Ovis aries: one gene and its partners. The protein of the gene in region 3 interacts with the protein of the main gene of each other region in a pairwise test. Links are inferred from orthologs where the notes say so. Each region holds a gene or a part of one and is shown on either strand. Other genes may lie near its edges. The genes, in order: CASS4, ARHGAP26 and CDC42EP2.

The links.
Region 1: the proteins of CDC42EP2 (region 3) and CASS4 interact in binary tests that used the Homo sapiens proteins (3 or more experiments, as listed by UniProt). The link is inferred for Ovis aries from reciprocal best matches to the Homo sapiens genes CDC42EP2 and CASS4.
Region 2: the proteins of CDC42EP2 (region 3) and ARHGAP26 interact in binary tests that used the Homo sapiens proteins (3 or more experiments, as listed by UniProt). The two-hybrid records come from large-scale screens. The link is inferred for Ovis aries from reciprocal best matches to the Homo sapiens genes CDC42EP2 and ARHGAP26.

The regions. Positions count from the first base shown.
Region 1 is NC_056066.1:59,155,410-59,159,600, reverse strand, and holds the end of CASS4 (cas scaffolding protein family member 4), read left to right. Parts: intron 1-1,634; coding exon 1,635-2,045; 3' UTR 2,046-3,129; downstream 3,130-4,191. UniProt on the Homo sapiens protein: Docking protein that plays a role in tyrosine kinase-based signaling related to cell adhesion and cell spreading. Regulates PTK2/FAK1 activity, focal adhesion integrity, and cell spreading.
Region 2 is NC_056058.1:51,459,353-51,464,743, reverse strand, and holds the start of ARHGAP26 (rho GTPase-activating protein 26), read right to left. Parts: upstream 3,638-5,391; 5' UTR 3,293-3,637; coding exon 3,139-3,292; intron 1-3,138. UniProt on the Homo sapiens protein: GTPase-activating protein for RHOA and CDC42. Facilitates mitochondrial quality control by promoting Parkin-mediated recruitment of autophagosomes to damaged mitochondria.
Region 3 is NC_056074.1:39,966,613-39,972,003, forward strand, and holds the start of CDC42EP2 (cdc42 effector protein 2), read left to right. Parts: upstream 1-2,338; 5' UTR 2,339-2,411; intron 2,412-5,391. UniProt on the Homo sapiens protein: Probably involved in the organization of the actin cytoskeleton. May act downstream of CDC42 to induce actin filament assembly leading to cell shape changes. Induces pseudopodia formation in fibroblasts in a CDC42-dependent manner.

The DNA of each region.
Region 1 (4,191 bases), on a different chromosome or scaffold from region 3:
GGACACAGGTGGGAAGCAAGCTCTCACATGACCCTTATAAGAGCACTAATCCCCCACTCTGGGGGCCATGAACCACCGGGGAAGCCCTAATTCTAGTCACCACCTCCCAAAGGCTCCATCTCCTAATACCTTTCCCTTGAGGGGTTAGAATTTCATGATACAAATTTTAGGGAGACACAGTCAGACCATAACACAGTCTGAGTGCTTCTGAGCTGTGAGTTTTGAGATCTTAGATTGATAAAAGGGTGTAGTTTAACAAAGAATGAGAATTTTAGGCTTGCTGACTTGGCTTAGAGCTCCAGAGCTTTTTTTCAGTATTTATTTATATATTTGGCTGCACCACGTCTTAGTTGTGGCATGTGGGATCTAGCTCCCTGACCAGGGATTTAAGCCTGGGTCCCTCCATTGGGAATGTGAGTCTTAACCACTGGACTGCCGGGGAAGTCCAGCCCTCCAATCTTTATTTTGCTAATTGAGTGACCCTAGGTGACCTCTTCTCTTCCGGGATACTCAGTCTCCTCACCTATCACCTAACAAAGGGGATTTTGATTGTTACCTGGGGTGGCTGACACTAAATTTGATGCTGAGAATCTTTCACTAGTGAATAGGCTTTGGCGCCACATTGCAGAAAATAAAATTAACGAAAGTAAAATTCTAAATGAAACTTTAACTAGCAAGTAAGATAAATATTTTAATCTTGAAGCAAATAGGTCAGTATATTTTGATTTCTTTTGGAAATTTGGGGGAATTCAAGTTTACCTCTTATACTGGAATTAGGAAGGATTTTTTTGTAATGCTTTAAAACCTATTCTTTGAGTAAATTTTAAAATTACTCAATTTAAAATTTTAAAATTGCTCACCATCAACTCTCCTGCATTTTTTAAAATTTATAAATTTAGGGGACTTGGCTGTGGTCCAGTGGTTAAGACGTTGCCTTCCAGTGCAAGGGGTGTGGTTTGGGAGCTAAGTTCCCACATGCCTGGAAGTAAAAAAAAAAACAAAATGTAAAGCAGAAGCAATATTGTAACAAATTCAATAAAAACATTAAAAAAGGATCAACATAAAAAGAAAAAACTTTTAAAAAAAGGTATAAATTTAGTCATTGTCAGTAAGTTTCTTAGAATGGGTTTGTAATTGTTTGTTGAGAGGATTGAATATAATTTTATGTATATCTAATATGAATGATTATATATAACACAATATATAAGATTATATTTATAAGGAAGCTTTAAAAAGGATTTCCCTGGTGGCTCAGCAGTAAAGAACCTCCTTGTCAATGAGATGGCAAGGACCCAGGATTTGATCCCTGGGTCGGGAAGATTTCCTGGAGGAGGAAATGGCAACCTACTCCAGTATTCTTGCCTGGAGAATCCCATGGACAGAGGAGCCTGGCGGGCTACAGTCCTTTGGGTCACAAAAGAGTTGGACAGGATTTAGCAACTAAACAACACAACATGCTTTGAATTAACATTAATTTGTTAGGCAGAATGTTACACCTGCACATGGAGCTTCCCAAACAAAACTATACTTTTTCTTATAAAAAGTCTGCAAATTAAGCAAAAACAGGAGAAGAGAGACAGTCACAGCCTGTTGCTCGCATCTCTCTAATCTGTCATCTTCTTCCCCTTCTCTAGAATTCCAGCTCCCTGGTCCCCCGGCCTTTGAGTCAGCAGAATCCTGAGAAGAAAATTCGCCTTTCTGAACATTGCCGCCTCTATTTTGGGGCGCTCTTCAAAGCCATCGGCGTGCTGAACAGCAGCCTCCAGAACAGCCAACCCCCCGAGACCTTCATCACGCAGAGCAAGCTGGTCATCACGGTCGGGCAGAAGCTGGTGGACAGGCTGTGCCGGGAGACCCAGGAGCGGGACGTGCGCAATGAGATCCTGAGAGGCAGCAGCTGCCTCTGCAGCCTGCTCAAGGACTTAGCGCTGGCCACCAAGCAAGCCGTGCTCCAGCACCCCAGCCCCGCCGCCCTGCAGCACCTCCAGGCTGAAGCCAAGAAGCTGGAACAGCATGCACAGCAATTCAGGGGGATGTTGGAATAAGCCTCCTTCTCCCTGTTAAACTCTTCACTTCAGTTGCACACCCACAACCTGTGCAAGTCTGTCCTCTGGGAAAAACCAACCTGGGGGTATACAGTGGATGGCAATCGTCATGGTGCCCAAACCCAGTGTTACCGAGGGTCTGGGCAACTCCAGGGTATTGGCTTATCCCACAGAGTCAGGGAGGAGTTAGGTGTGAAGAAAGGACCTATCGTGTAGGGCCAATGTGTGAAATGAGGTTGTGGAATCCAGTTTTTTATATTAGCTCAATGTGTGCCTGTTTTAAGTTCATTCATTCATTCAGTACTTATTTATTGGGTATCTATTGTATGTTAAATTCTAGGTGCTGGGCATGTAGCACTGAATCAGACCAAGGCTTTGCCCTCAGGGCATTTACAGTCTAGTGGGGAGACAGACAAATGATGAAGAAGTGCATACACAATATATTAGGTGCTAGGGAGAAGCCTACTTTGGGGCTTCTTTGGGGGCTCAGTGGTAAAGAACCCACCTGCCAATGCAGGAGACGTGGTTCGATCCCTGGTTTGGGAAGATCCCCTGGAGAAGGAGATGGCAACCCACTCCAGTATTCTTTCCTGGGAAATCCCATGGACAGAGGAGTTGGGCAGACTACAGTCCATGGGTTGGCAAGAGAGTCAGACATGACTGAGCGACTGACTAAACAACAGGGAGAAAATAGAATATGAGAATGGGGGCAGAGATTATTTTCAAGTGATTAATTTCTGTTGCATCTGCTAGAAAATGTAGTAAAATTTTCAGTTTGGATAGAATTAATTCTGTGAGACTGGTACAAATTCTGTATCTGTGACTTATACCAAATATGTATATATATATTTGCTGTTTTATCTGAACAGAGTTAAACAGCATGTTATAAGTAGCAGTAAATTTGTAACATAATATGTTCTATTGGGTTCCCTATTTATTTTGTACATTATAGATTCTGTGTTAATAAATTCAACACATGGATTGAACGTTTAGTATGTTCAATCAGAAAAGGTTTATACCTCAATAGTCTCAAATGTGTTACCATTTATAATATTATGTCAATACAGTCATGAATTGAAACGTCCTTTGCACCAGTCTTTTCTTTGGAAAGATGTTTGATCTTTGTCACTTGGGTTCTGGTACCAAAGCAAAATGTTTATTTGTGTCACGCGAATGCTTCTCCCCAAAGTGTGCAAGGAGAGGAAGTAGAGGCCAAGTTTGCACATGCACCGCTAGCTCGGGAAAAGTAGAGCCAGGAAGTGTGGTATAAACAGCATCCCTATCACTGGGCACAGATCTGAGAGTGACCCAGAATTCCCCCTACTCCCCCGCGCCAAGTCAAACACCTCCTCTTCCTGTCCTTGCAGCTGGGGCTTTAGTTCACGTTTCTATGGTTACCTCATCACTTCAAGTGGAGGTTCAGGTCTTCTATGTGCCCCTCTGCCATGAGCCATCTCTAGGCTGGAAATTACCTGAAATGGTACCAGCTGCAGTTCCTATCTGCTACTCTGCACTTTTAAATTGTTGACTACCAAAAGACTGATTGTATACATGGAGTTACTCTCAGGGTCCCTAAAGAAGGATGCTGTCCTGGTGAGGCTTGGTTCTCTGCGCTAGACTAGAGACATTTTCTGGGAGCAGCCATGATCTGTGTCAGTTAGGACTCCTGATACCATCTCTCTTAAGCAATAAAAGGAATGTATTGACTCAAGTATCTTAACATAATCCAGGGGCAAGCTGGCTTCCAAAACAGCTGCTTTGGATACCCCCAGCAGAATCATCAAGGCCCAATTTATGAACCCCACTTTCTCTGTGTTAGCTCTCATGGTTTCAAGGTGTCTGCCATGAGTTATGGTCTTTCTTGGTCTATGGCCAGAGGGGAAGAAAGAGTCTTCTTTTCTGCTTGGACTAGTTTAGATCAGATGTCTGCCCCTAATAACTCCATGGTAAGACAGGGGTATAATACCTGAGGTGTCCTAGACCTGAGATTCACCCCTACACACAGACACACAGACACACAGACACACACACACACACACACACACACAGAGCCATGTGTTCCTAGACAGATAAGGAGATGGCTCTAGCAAGAACTGTGAAATGTCTTCCCTTACTTCAAAGTAACAAGTCAGCCTGCCATAATCTC
Region 2 (5,391 bases), on a different chromosome or scaffold from region 3:
AGCCAAGTGCTTTCTTTACATGCACGTTTCATTTCGTGCTCACAACAGCCCTAGGAGGTCAGCGTGGCTCTTCCCATTTTACACAGGAGGAGCTCAGGCTTAGTGCCTTGTCCAGTAAGTGATAAGGTCAAGAACACAGAAAATCCTAAAACCCTTAATTCTACAAGTCTGAACGTCATCGCCAGCCTCTATTATCTCTCCAGAAAGAAAAAAGGACCAAAGCATACTGAATCCTCTGGACTGAGACAGATTAATCAGGTTAAGGAAAGAGTGCTCACAGAAAATGCCTAGACAAATTAGCACAGAAGAAATTGACTGGGAGTCACCACATCAAACAAGAACTTTCTCCAAAGGCAGGAGTTTTTGAAATGCAGGTCCCAAATTATTTTATTGCTTAGCTGCCTTGTTTACCAGATTCTCAAGGGTATTCAATAGACAACAGACCTACACAACATTTCTACTTCACAGTTAAGTGCACAGGCTCTGGAATCAGATAACTTATGTTTAAGTACACTTAACTGCTGTGATGCCTTGGGCAGGTTACTGATCTCTCTGATCTTCAGTTTCCTCATTCATAAAGAGCAATGATCTAGCTGAACTTCAGCAATCCCTGGAGGCCAGTATTATTGCCTCAGATTAACACACAAAGGAAATCTAAACCCAAAAATCTGTGCATACTAATTATAAAGTAAAGCCATAAAATTTTAGAGAGGGAAGAGCCTATAAATCATCTAAACCAATGTTACTTTTACACAATTATGTATTTTTATATATATATTTTTTAAAACGCTTTACATTTTGCAGAAGTGATAAAGATGATCCAAAGAAAATGAATACACATATACTAGCATAGTAATATACCATGCAAGAAGGACCCAATGATAACACAATGCCTGAAGTTCAGGAATTAATAATCCTCTCCACCCTCTTTAAGAGGGCATGTGGCACCTGTTCAAGCACTAATAAGAGTAGAAGAGAATAGTTAGTAATAGAGCTAGATATTAAGAGATTAGAACACCTAGCTCTCCCCCAAGTTATAGAGCTGGTCCATTCATTAGACAATTTAAAAAACTCTTTATCACCTGTACTGTTTCCTCCTACCCAAAGAATTCTTAAGTTCCTCCCCCATACACACCTTAAAAATAGTGGCAAGCAGATAAACTGCCAATCACATAAAGGCATCTTCCTCAGACTCAAGGCTAAGATACAAAATGCAAGTCCAAATTCCAACACTCTCGGACCAGGGGCTCCATTCTGGGCAAGAGGAATGAGACAGAATTAAGAGCTCAACATCAGCAGGAACTTCATCTCTGGCTCAGACCCTGCGGGAGACAAAAACAGCCCTGCTCTTAGAGCGGTGAGACTCTCAGCCAGTGATTCTTTCAAGCCTGCTTTCTCATTTGAAAGATGAGTTATAATACGTGAGATAATTTGTGGGTGAAGCAGTGCCTAGTTTGGAGTAAGTCTCCACAGCCACAGGAACAACAGAACAGTCACTACTACATCCTCAGTGCCCAGGGTAATATCGAGCACACAGCAGGCACTCCAGATGTTTGCTGAATAAAGCAGAGGCCCAATTAAAGCCAGTCTGAGATTCAAACAAAATGTGTGGGCCCAACCTGTAAGTGAGCCCCTAACTTAGTCCAAACTAGGGGTCACATATTCTAAGGACGGCCCTGGTCATCAACAAAAGAAGAGTCTATTCATTTGCTTCTGGTCACAACCTCCAACAGAGACCCTGCCTCTGAAGAGCCTCAGCACACCAAAGTTCTACTTTTATTTCACCTCAAAAGACTACCACTTGCTGCCCTGGGGCTCCTCTGTCTTCTTCATCTTTAGAAACAACAGGCTCACAAAATGACATCTCAGGCACTTGACTTTAAGTCTCCTTCAAAGAGACTTGGTGACAATTCTCAGGCCCACGGCTGCACTCTGCCAAGACAAGCTTTCCTAGTTGAAAGATATCACCTATTAAGAAATGCAGCAAAGAGAAAGGAAAAGTCAAGTGAAAGACAATTCCACTATCTGCCTTTATGTTATTTCTGATTCTTAAAAATAAAAGATGGACCAAATTATTCTTAAATGGGTAGACAGGAAAGGCACCCAAAAAAAGGAGCTCAGCAATCCAAGGCATCCATCCCTAGAGCACTCGTTTGGCCAGAAGGAGACACTCTCTGGCTCTGCAAATGACAAGGGAAATCATACACAGAATGTAAATTTCATTTCTCCCCTGCCAAAGGGAAATTTGCAAAAATGGTTTTGCAAAAGGTTCGAAAATCTCTAAGGATAAGTTTAAACTTCTTTCTGAGCGAAGATCGAGGACATTCCTTCCCAAACCTTTGAGTTTTCAAGGATATTGGGAGAGGTAAAAAAAGCAGAGTGAGGGAGCGAGAGAGGGAGAGGATATGTTCGTTCTATTTTTAAACCCTCGCCCACAGTTTAGAGTAAAGGAACACTCTGATTCTGTACTCCCACCCCTATCACCTTCTGCTAAACACAAGAATCAGAACCTGCACACGTACGTGGCCCTGATTCTAGATCTGGTGGGTTAAAAGCTGCCACTATTCCAAAGAATCGCGAGCTGACCAACCACCCTACCCAGCCCTTTTCTGGGAAGGGAAGGAGATCTCTCGGAGACCCCGGCGGCCCTGAGCAGGCGGGAGTGAAGCAGGCACAACCCGCCTTTTCCTGAGGGGAGGCAGCGCCCCCTTGGCAGGGCACGCTCCATTCCCACGGCTGGGCACTCAGGGGTGAGCAACTCTCCCCCAAGGAAGCCGGAGTCGTGGACGCGAAGGGGTTTCCCAATATGCTACGGTGCTCCAGGCACTCCAGTCCCACTCCTGAGACACCTGTGTGACGCGCACACCCACCCGCGGCGCCCCAGAGCGCTACTCGCGCTCGGTCACCTCCCAGTCCCCTCGGAACGCAAACGGCCGGGTGACGGGTCTCTGCCTTCACTGTCTTGTTGCTAGCTCGCCCATTTTACGTATCCTTTCCGCTTCGCGACAAAGGTCTACGCCCGTCCCTCAGCGCCCGGGGGCAGAAATCCAGCCGGGCGCGGGACCCCTAGGTCTGAGCGCCGCCCGACGGCCCCTCCCGCCCCGGAGCACCGTCCCCGCCAGGCTCCCGGGCACTCACTCTTGAGCGCGCTGATGAGTGACTTCCCGTCCTTGATGAGCTCCTTGATGAATTTGTTGGTCTTGTCCAGCTCCGCTTCGTGCGACTTCAGCGTCTCTCGGAAGTGAGGGCTGTCGAGGCAGCAGTCACTGAATTCGAGCGCGGGCAGCCCCATGGTGTCCGCGGCGCCCAGCCGGGGGGCGCGCCTCCCCCAGGGCTCCGGCGGCCCGCAGCCCGGAGCACGCACGCGGCGAGACCCTGGCCGGCACCCCCGACGGCCGCCGGCTCCACAGGTGTGGCGCCGGCTCGGTCTCAGCGCGGTGTCCGCGGGCGCGCACGATTCCTGAACAGAGCCTGGAGGCGAACGAAGAGCGTCTGCTCCAACGGCGTGTAACCGAGAGGGCGCGGAGCAGGAAGAGCAGCTGAGGACCCGCAGCGGCGACGGGAAGGGAACGACCAGTCGAGCGAGTGCAGCAGCCGCCTGCCCGCCTCCCTCGCCAGTTCGCTCTCCTGCAGCTTCGAGCGCCCTCTCACAGCAGCCTCGGCCGCCCAGCCGGCGTCCGAGCCGGACGAACCTGCTAGCAATGACCTAATCCCAGCCAAGCCAATCAGAACCCCGTCTCAGCCCTACCCACGGGCCTTCCGAGGATGCCCGGCCCTTCCGCGACCATAACCCAATCAACGGGGTCCAGAGGCGGGGTCTAAGTCGGGGGCGTGGCCCACGCCACCGCCTAGGTCCGCAGCACAAGCTCCGCCCTCTCCCGTCTGCTCTGGGTTGCACAGTCGGAGCCGGGAAGGAACGAAGATTGCTGCCGAATGGGCCAGCGCAGCGGCCGGGATCCGAGCCGGAGACGGTGCGTCTGCATATCTGGGAAGCGGAGGAGCCTAGATGTGCCGAACATGAAAAATCTAGGAATTTAGGGCTGCAGTTCCCCTAAGGCTGAGGCAATCGTGCTTACACTCAAAATGCATTCCCCAGTCGGACACAACTGAAGCGACTTAGCACTCGCGCACGTCCCAGGAGAACCCCGAGCGTACCAAGCGACCACGTCGCCCCTAGACACAAGCTCCTTCTTCCACTCAAGCAAAACATACTTACATCTTAAAACTACCAGCTCTTCTGGCCTGCAGTCTTCCCGCCCCCTACAGTCCGGCCCCCTCAAGGCCACTCCTGCTCAAAACCCGCCCACGGCTGCCCCCAACCGAAAGATCTAACATCCTTTCAAGAATTTCAGCCGCCTGTTTTCCTGCTGGGCACCTCACACAATTTTACATAATTACGTCCACTGCCTGTAGTCCTTTGCAATAAATACTGTGAGCTTCAAGACTACGAAATGAGCCACCGCCGCTTTCTTGTGCGCTGCGGCATCCCTAACGCCTAGAACAGTGGCTGGCATCTAGTAACAGATACTGAGCGCTTCCCTTGTGCTATATGTGCAACGGCGATTGATAAGGATTTGTGGAATAAACGAATGGATCCGTTCCCGTGTCTTTCTCCACTTTCCACTTTCCTGTAATGTGTTGCCCTATTGCCCTTGGGTTCCACCACAGTAATCAATCCAGGCAGCTCACTAACTGCACCTGTCAGTCTGGATCCCACAGTGTCCAGTGCTGAACTATGAAGTGCTAGAGGAAAGGGACTGTCTTTGAATAAATTATTCGTATGTCTAGGAAGGAGGAGCCCTCCAGTTAGGTGGTTTTGTGTGTGTGTATGTGGCTTGTTTTTTGTTTGTTTGGTTGTCTTTGTTTTTGTTTTTACATAGGTCTGCTATGTGCAGGCACTAGACTAGATACTAAAGATGCGAAGATGAATAACACAGAATGAACCTGTCTGCTACTGGTTAGTGGGATAGAAAAGCGACAAGCAATAGCAATGCTGCATAGTAAGTTGGGAACGTTGAGAAGGCAATGCTAACTCGGGAGCTAGAGAAGTCATCTACATGGAGGTATTGATTTATTAAATGCATGAATGAATGAATGTGATCTGTTTGCCAGTTGTAGCTACAAATTTAGATTTGATAGCAGGCCCAAACAGTTATCAAATGGATAATTAAAAGTCTGAAAATAGTTGTTCCTCAGTTGCCAAGAATGAGAAAGATGTGGAATGGAATTCCATGAAACTAAATCTGCTTAATGCTATATCTTGAGCACTTAAAAGTAGGTGTTCTGGCTCTTAAGTAATACATAACAAATCACACCAAAACTTAATAGATTAAAGCAAAATATGATCATTGTATTTTCTCTCCTAATCTCTGTGGATCAGGAATTTGGGGA
Region 3 (5,391 bases):
GGCCTAGGTGAGTTGGTGGCTGACAAAGCCTGGGTGGTAGGAATGGGGAAGGTACAATACTTACCCACCCACACCACAACTTGGCCTAGGGCCCCCTCCCTCCACTGTCCAGGTCTCAGCTTTCCTCTGAGCCACTAGGCCAGTCCTGGCAGAATCCACCTAACTGATGCTCCTTGGGGAGTTGAAGGAGCGGCCAGGAAGGCTCTAGATTAAAAGTTGAAACTTCCCTGCATTTGTTTTCTATTGCTACTGTAGCAAATCGCCACCAACATGGGGGCTTTGTTGTTCAGTCGCTCAGTCCTGTCCAACTCTTTGGGACTCCACGGACTGCAGCATGCCGGCCTCCCTATCCTTCACCAACTCCCAGAGCTTGCTCAAACTCATATCCATTGAACTGCTGATGCCATCCAACCATTTCACTCTCTGTCATCCCCTTCTCCTCCTGCCTTCAATCTTTCCCAGCATCAGGGTCTTTTTCAATGAATCGGCTCTTCACATCAGGTGGCCAAAGTACTGGAGCTTCAGCTTCAGCATCAGTCCTTCCAATGAATACTTAGTACCAATTTCCTTTAGGATTGACTGGTTTGATCTCCTTGCAGTCCAAGGGACTCTCAAGAGTCTTGTCCAGCACCACAGTTCAAAGGTACCAATTCTTCGGTGCTCAGCCGTTTTTTATTGTCCAGCTCTCACATCCATAAGCTGGAGGCTTAAAACAACACAAATTTATAAACTTCCAGTCCCATTGATGAGAAGTTCCAACATGGGTCTAAAATCAAGCTCAGTGGGCTGTGTTTCTTCTGGATGCTCGAGGGGACGACCCGCTTCCTTGTTTTTTTCCAGCTTCTAGAGGCTGGCCTGCTTGTGGCCCCTTCCTCCATCTTCCTAAGCAGCAACACAGAGTTTCTGCATCATCACATCTCTTTTTCTGACACTCCAGTCTCCCTCTTCCACTTTAAGAACCATCAGTCATTATTGTGCTGGACCCACCCAGATAATTCCGATAATCTCTCTGGTTTTTTGTTTTGTTTTTTAAAAGCACAACACAATTTTTAAAAACTCATTTATTTGTCTGTGTTGGGTCTTTCTTGCCTCATGTGGGATCTTTTGTTGCAGCACAAGGGCTCTCTAGTTGGGGGTGCACCGGTTTAGTTTCTCTGCTGCACGTGGGATCTTAGTTCCCTACCCAGGGGTAGAACCCATGCCCCTTGCATTGCAGGGTGGCTTCTTAACCACTGGACTACCAGGGAAGTCCCAATCTCTCTGTTTTAAAGTCAGTTGATTAGCAACTCTAATTCCATTGGCAAACTTAATTGTTCTTTGCCATGTAACAAAATACATTCACAGGTTGCCCCTCTTTAGGGGGAGCCATTACTCTGCCTACTGGATTCTGCTTCTCCCCATCCTTCCCTCCCTCCTGGCTTAGCGGACCTTCACCTCCACCCTCAGCATCCTTCCCTCCTTCAGGATGCCTTCCTGACCCCCCTCTCCTCGAGTCCCTCCCACATTTACAGAATGGAAGATTTTATCATCTTGGTCATATTGTACTGTCACAGCTCTCAGGTCCCCTTACCTCAGTACCATCCACCCTTTGCAGGGTATGCCTTTCAGTAAATGTTTCTTCCACTGAATGAACGAATGAACCCACCAACCAACCAATCAATAATCCTCGTGGTCAGCACCATTGGCGAGCCCCAGGACCTCACCCTGCAGCAGCTCAAGCCCCACCCAATCTTGTAAAGAGTCTGAGTACCAGTCCCACCCCCGCCCCGGAAGCCACCTAGCCTGAAGATAAATACGGTAAATACGGGAGTGGCCGGGCCACTCATCCCGCGCACACCCCCAAAGCCTTCCTTTCTAGGAGACGGCAAACTTTTGAAAGCTCTCGGAAGTCTGTAATGTATTGACGTAAGCGCCTCCGAGGCCTCATTCATTTCCTCAGCAGTCACTAAATACTTTTATGCCAGTGCCCTCCAGGGAGGGAACCCTCCGGGGACGCTTCTCTTCTGAATTCTAAAGAATTCGGTCTTCCGGCTACCTCCCCCCTCGGCCGTCGTAGAACCGAGAGTTTTGGCTCTGACGGACATAGCCGGAGTCCGCGGAGTCCAGCTCCATTACCCGACGCGGCCCGGCCCGCAGCCTCCCGAGCTCGGACTGGACCCCCGGGTCCCCGCGGCTGCCGGACCTCTACGCTGCGCCTGGGAAGAGGGAGCCGAAGCGGGCCCGCGAGTGGGGCGAGGCTGTGGGTGTGGCCTAGATGGGGCGGCCCCGGCATTGGCTCTACGGGCAGGGGGCGGGGCCTCAGGGGCCACGGTCTTCCCTGTAAGTTCGCAGCTCAGGTCTATCCCACCGCCGCGCGGTCCAGCTCCTGCGCTTTCGCCTCTCTCGGGTCAGCCGCCTAAACGCGCGTCAAGGTGAGTTCAGGCCCGACTCTGCAGCCAGACCGCGGCTCCTGGGGCGGGGCGGGGTGAGGCGGGGGGTGTCCCTCTAGAGGCCCATCCTTAAGGCGCCTCATCCTTGATCGCGCCTCGGGCCCCAACTCATCTCTACGTAGGTCCTTTCTGCCGTGAGATGCACGGCCTTTCTCACCCGCGCCTCGGTCCCGGCGGCCACGCCCGCGTTCCCCTCGGCCTGCTGGGCGCCGCGCATCCCGAACCCAAATTCCTGGTCCAGTCCTCCATGCTGCGCCGGGCCCCCCGCCCCACCCCCGGGACCCGGGAGTGCCCTCCTGCCTTTCAGCGCTCTCGCCTGGACCCGGGGTCGTATTTTTAGTAGACGGTGAGGTGTCCTCCTATCTTTAGCCGTGGCCGCGAGTGTCCTGAAACGGATCCGGACTGGGCTGGGCTGCGCTCGAATAGAGGGCGGGGAGGGGGTCGGCCCCGGAACCGGAGCTGGGGCTGAGTAGCAGGACCCGCCGGAGCCACGGGGCGGGGGCCGCACGCCCGAACTCTGGCCCTGCGCCGAGCGGACACTCGGACATCGCCTAGGCCGGAAAGCACAGGGGAGGCCCCTCCCTGAGCTTGGATAACCGGGCAGGGTCCCCGATCGCTCCCTCTTCCCCCTATTGTCTGGTTGTGAGCCCAGAATCCTCCAAGGGAAGAAAATCCTGCAGACAGTCCCCACCTGGTACGCGAACGTGCGTGCGTCTCCTTGGGAGGCGCCTGCCTAGAACTGTAGATTCGCTCGAGACCCCGGTGCGTGCAGGACCCCTCCGGGACAAGGAGCGGTAGAGGGAGAGCGCGCGCCACCTGGTGGCCACGGAACCGAGCGCTGCTCTGCACAGGGAAGTTGGGAGACCCCGCGGCCAGCGAGGGCGCCTGTACTGGAGGACCCCGCCGCCCAGGGGCTGCTCTTTTTCGGTCTTGTCTGGAGCACTGTCCCCGGAGAACCAGAATGCTTGAGGAAGTCCCTATAGCTATTTGTTGAATAAATGTCGAGGCTGACAGTGACCCGCTAACCCCCTCCTACATCCACACTCTCTCTGACTTCCAGTAACTCCCTGGTAATGGCCTTGTTGTCATCCCATTTCATGGATGAGGAAGGTGAGGACCAGAGAGAAAAGATGTTTTCCAGGTAGCAATGGGTTCAAGGTTGGGGGCCTACCTTTGGATCATCCCTGGTGGGGAGTGGCCTAGTATTCCTTGTGAGGAGGGGGCTCTGCCTCCAAGAAGTCATTACCTCTGAAGGAGGCCCCGGGCTCTTTCCAGAGCAGGCCCACAGAGCTGGGATGGCTCCTATCTACTCCTTCCAAAGCTGCAGGGTGCAGCACAGCCCAGCCCAGCCCCTAGAGCCTTGTCCTGATGGACAGCTCATTCTCATATATCTGGACACTTGCACGTTGAGAGATGGAAGCAGCCAAGAGGTAGGACTTAAATGGAGGAGGCTTGGGGACCTGGCAACCCCAGCCCAGGTGGATCCGTTTCCCTCTTGCTCCCCAGGCAGTGCACATATTTTGGCATGGCCCATTGTATCAGAGCCACTGGACTCAGCTGGGTAGCCGTGCCCACTCTTCCTCTTACTAGCTGGGTTATCTGGGCAGAGTTGCTTGATGTCTCTGAGATTCAGCTTCTGCCTCTGTAAAGGCCAGTGATGACACTGTGTTGTGCCTCGGAGGTTAAATTGGAAACCATGCAAGCCTAGCTGGAGCGTGGGGTCTTGGAGTTGCCAAATCTGAATATTTGGGGCTTGATGGTTGCAGTTCCCAGCTCTCCCCTGGTGGTTGACACTGGCCCAACCCTCCCCCCCCCCAGCCTCAGTTCTCCTCACATCTGGAATTGGGTGGATACATCTGGCTCAGAGCTCGAGAGCTGTCAGGGACGCCGGATCTGTTGTGGAAACACTCAGGCTGTCTTGGCGGCCCTGTATGATGGAGGGTGGGAGGAGGGGGGAGGTCTGGCCCAAGTTCTGGGCAGATCCCACCAGTTGGCCTCCTTCTCCATGAGTGAAAAGGAAGGAAAACTATCCCAGGATTTCTCGCCTGCCAAGGGGACAGATAGGATATATGTCAGCATGCCTCCAGACCTGGCATGGTGGGCACAGATAAATGTCTTTTAGGTAAATGAGTGATGGGAGTCCAGGACCTCAGAGCACGTCCTGCCTCCCTCCCCTGCCCCCCCAGCTCCTTCCAAGCTTAGCTGGAATTCTGCCACTGGAGAGTCATTCCTTTGTTTCCTGTTAAGCTGCAGGTGCTCTGGGAGGGGCAAGATGTCCGGTCTCTGGCTCAGCACCACTGACCCGAGCTGTCCGGTCCTGGGGTGGGGTTTCCTGAGTAAGGGCCTGGCTGGGGGGAGGGCTGTAGTTGGGATTCTGCCTCTCCTGCATCCTCCTTCCTCCTTCCTGCTCCCTCCTGCCAGCCCCCTCCTTCTTCTTTCACCCTGCTCCTGAGGCTGAATGCTGCAGAGGGGACTTCCCTGGTGGTCCAGTGGCTAAAACTCCGTGCTCCCAATACAGGGATCCTGGGTTCAATCCCTGGTCAGGGAACTAGAAGATCCCATGTGCCACAAGTAAGAGTTTGCTTACTGTAACTAAAGACCCTAGTGCAACAACTAAGACCCGACACAGTCAGATAAATTAAAAAAAAAAAAGAAGAAGAAGAATGGAGCAGAGGAACTGGCAGAGGCTTCTTGACCCTTCCCCAGCGATTTCCCACCTGCTCAGCCCCTCCTGGCCCCAGGAGGGTGGGCTCACGTGGTCACCCATTGGGCGACTTTGGACAAGTTTCTTTGCCTTTCGTGCTGATTCTACACATCAGGCCAGTCCCCTGCTGCGGGAACTAGAGGCAGTGCTTGTTCCACTTCCTTTTTCTGTTAAACCTGTATGACATCCCTCCAGAGTGTATTTATTTTTTCCACCTTCAAAATATCTGTGTTTATTCTGACTACATGAATAATATGT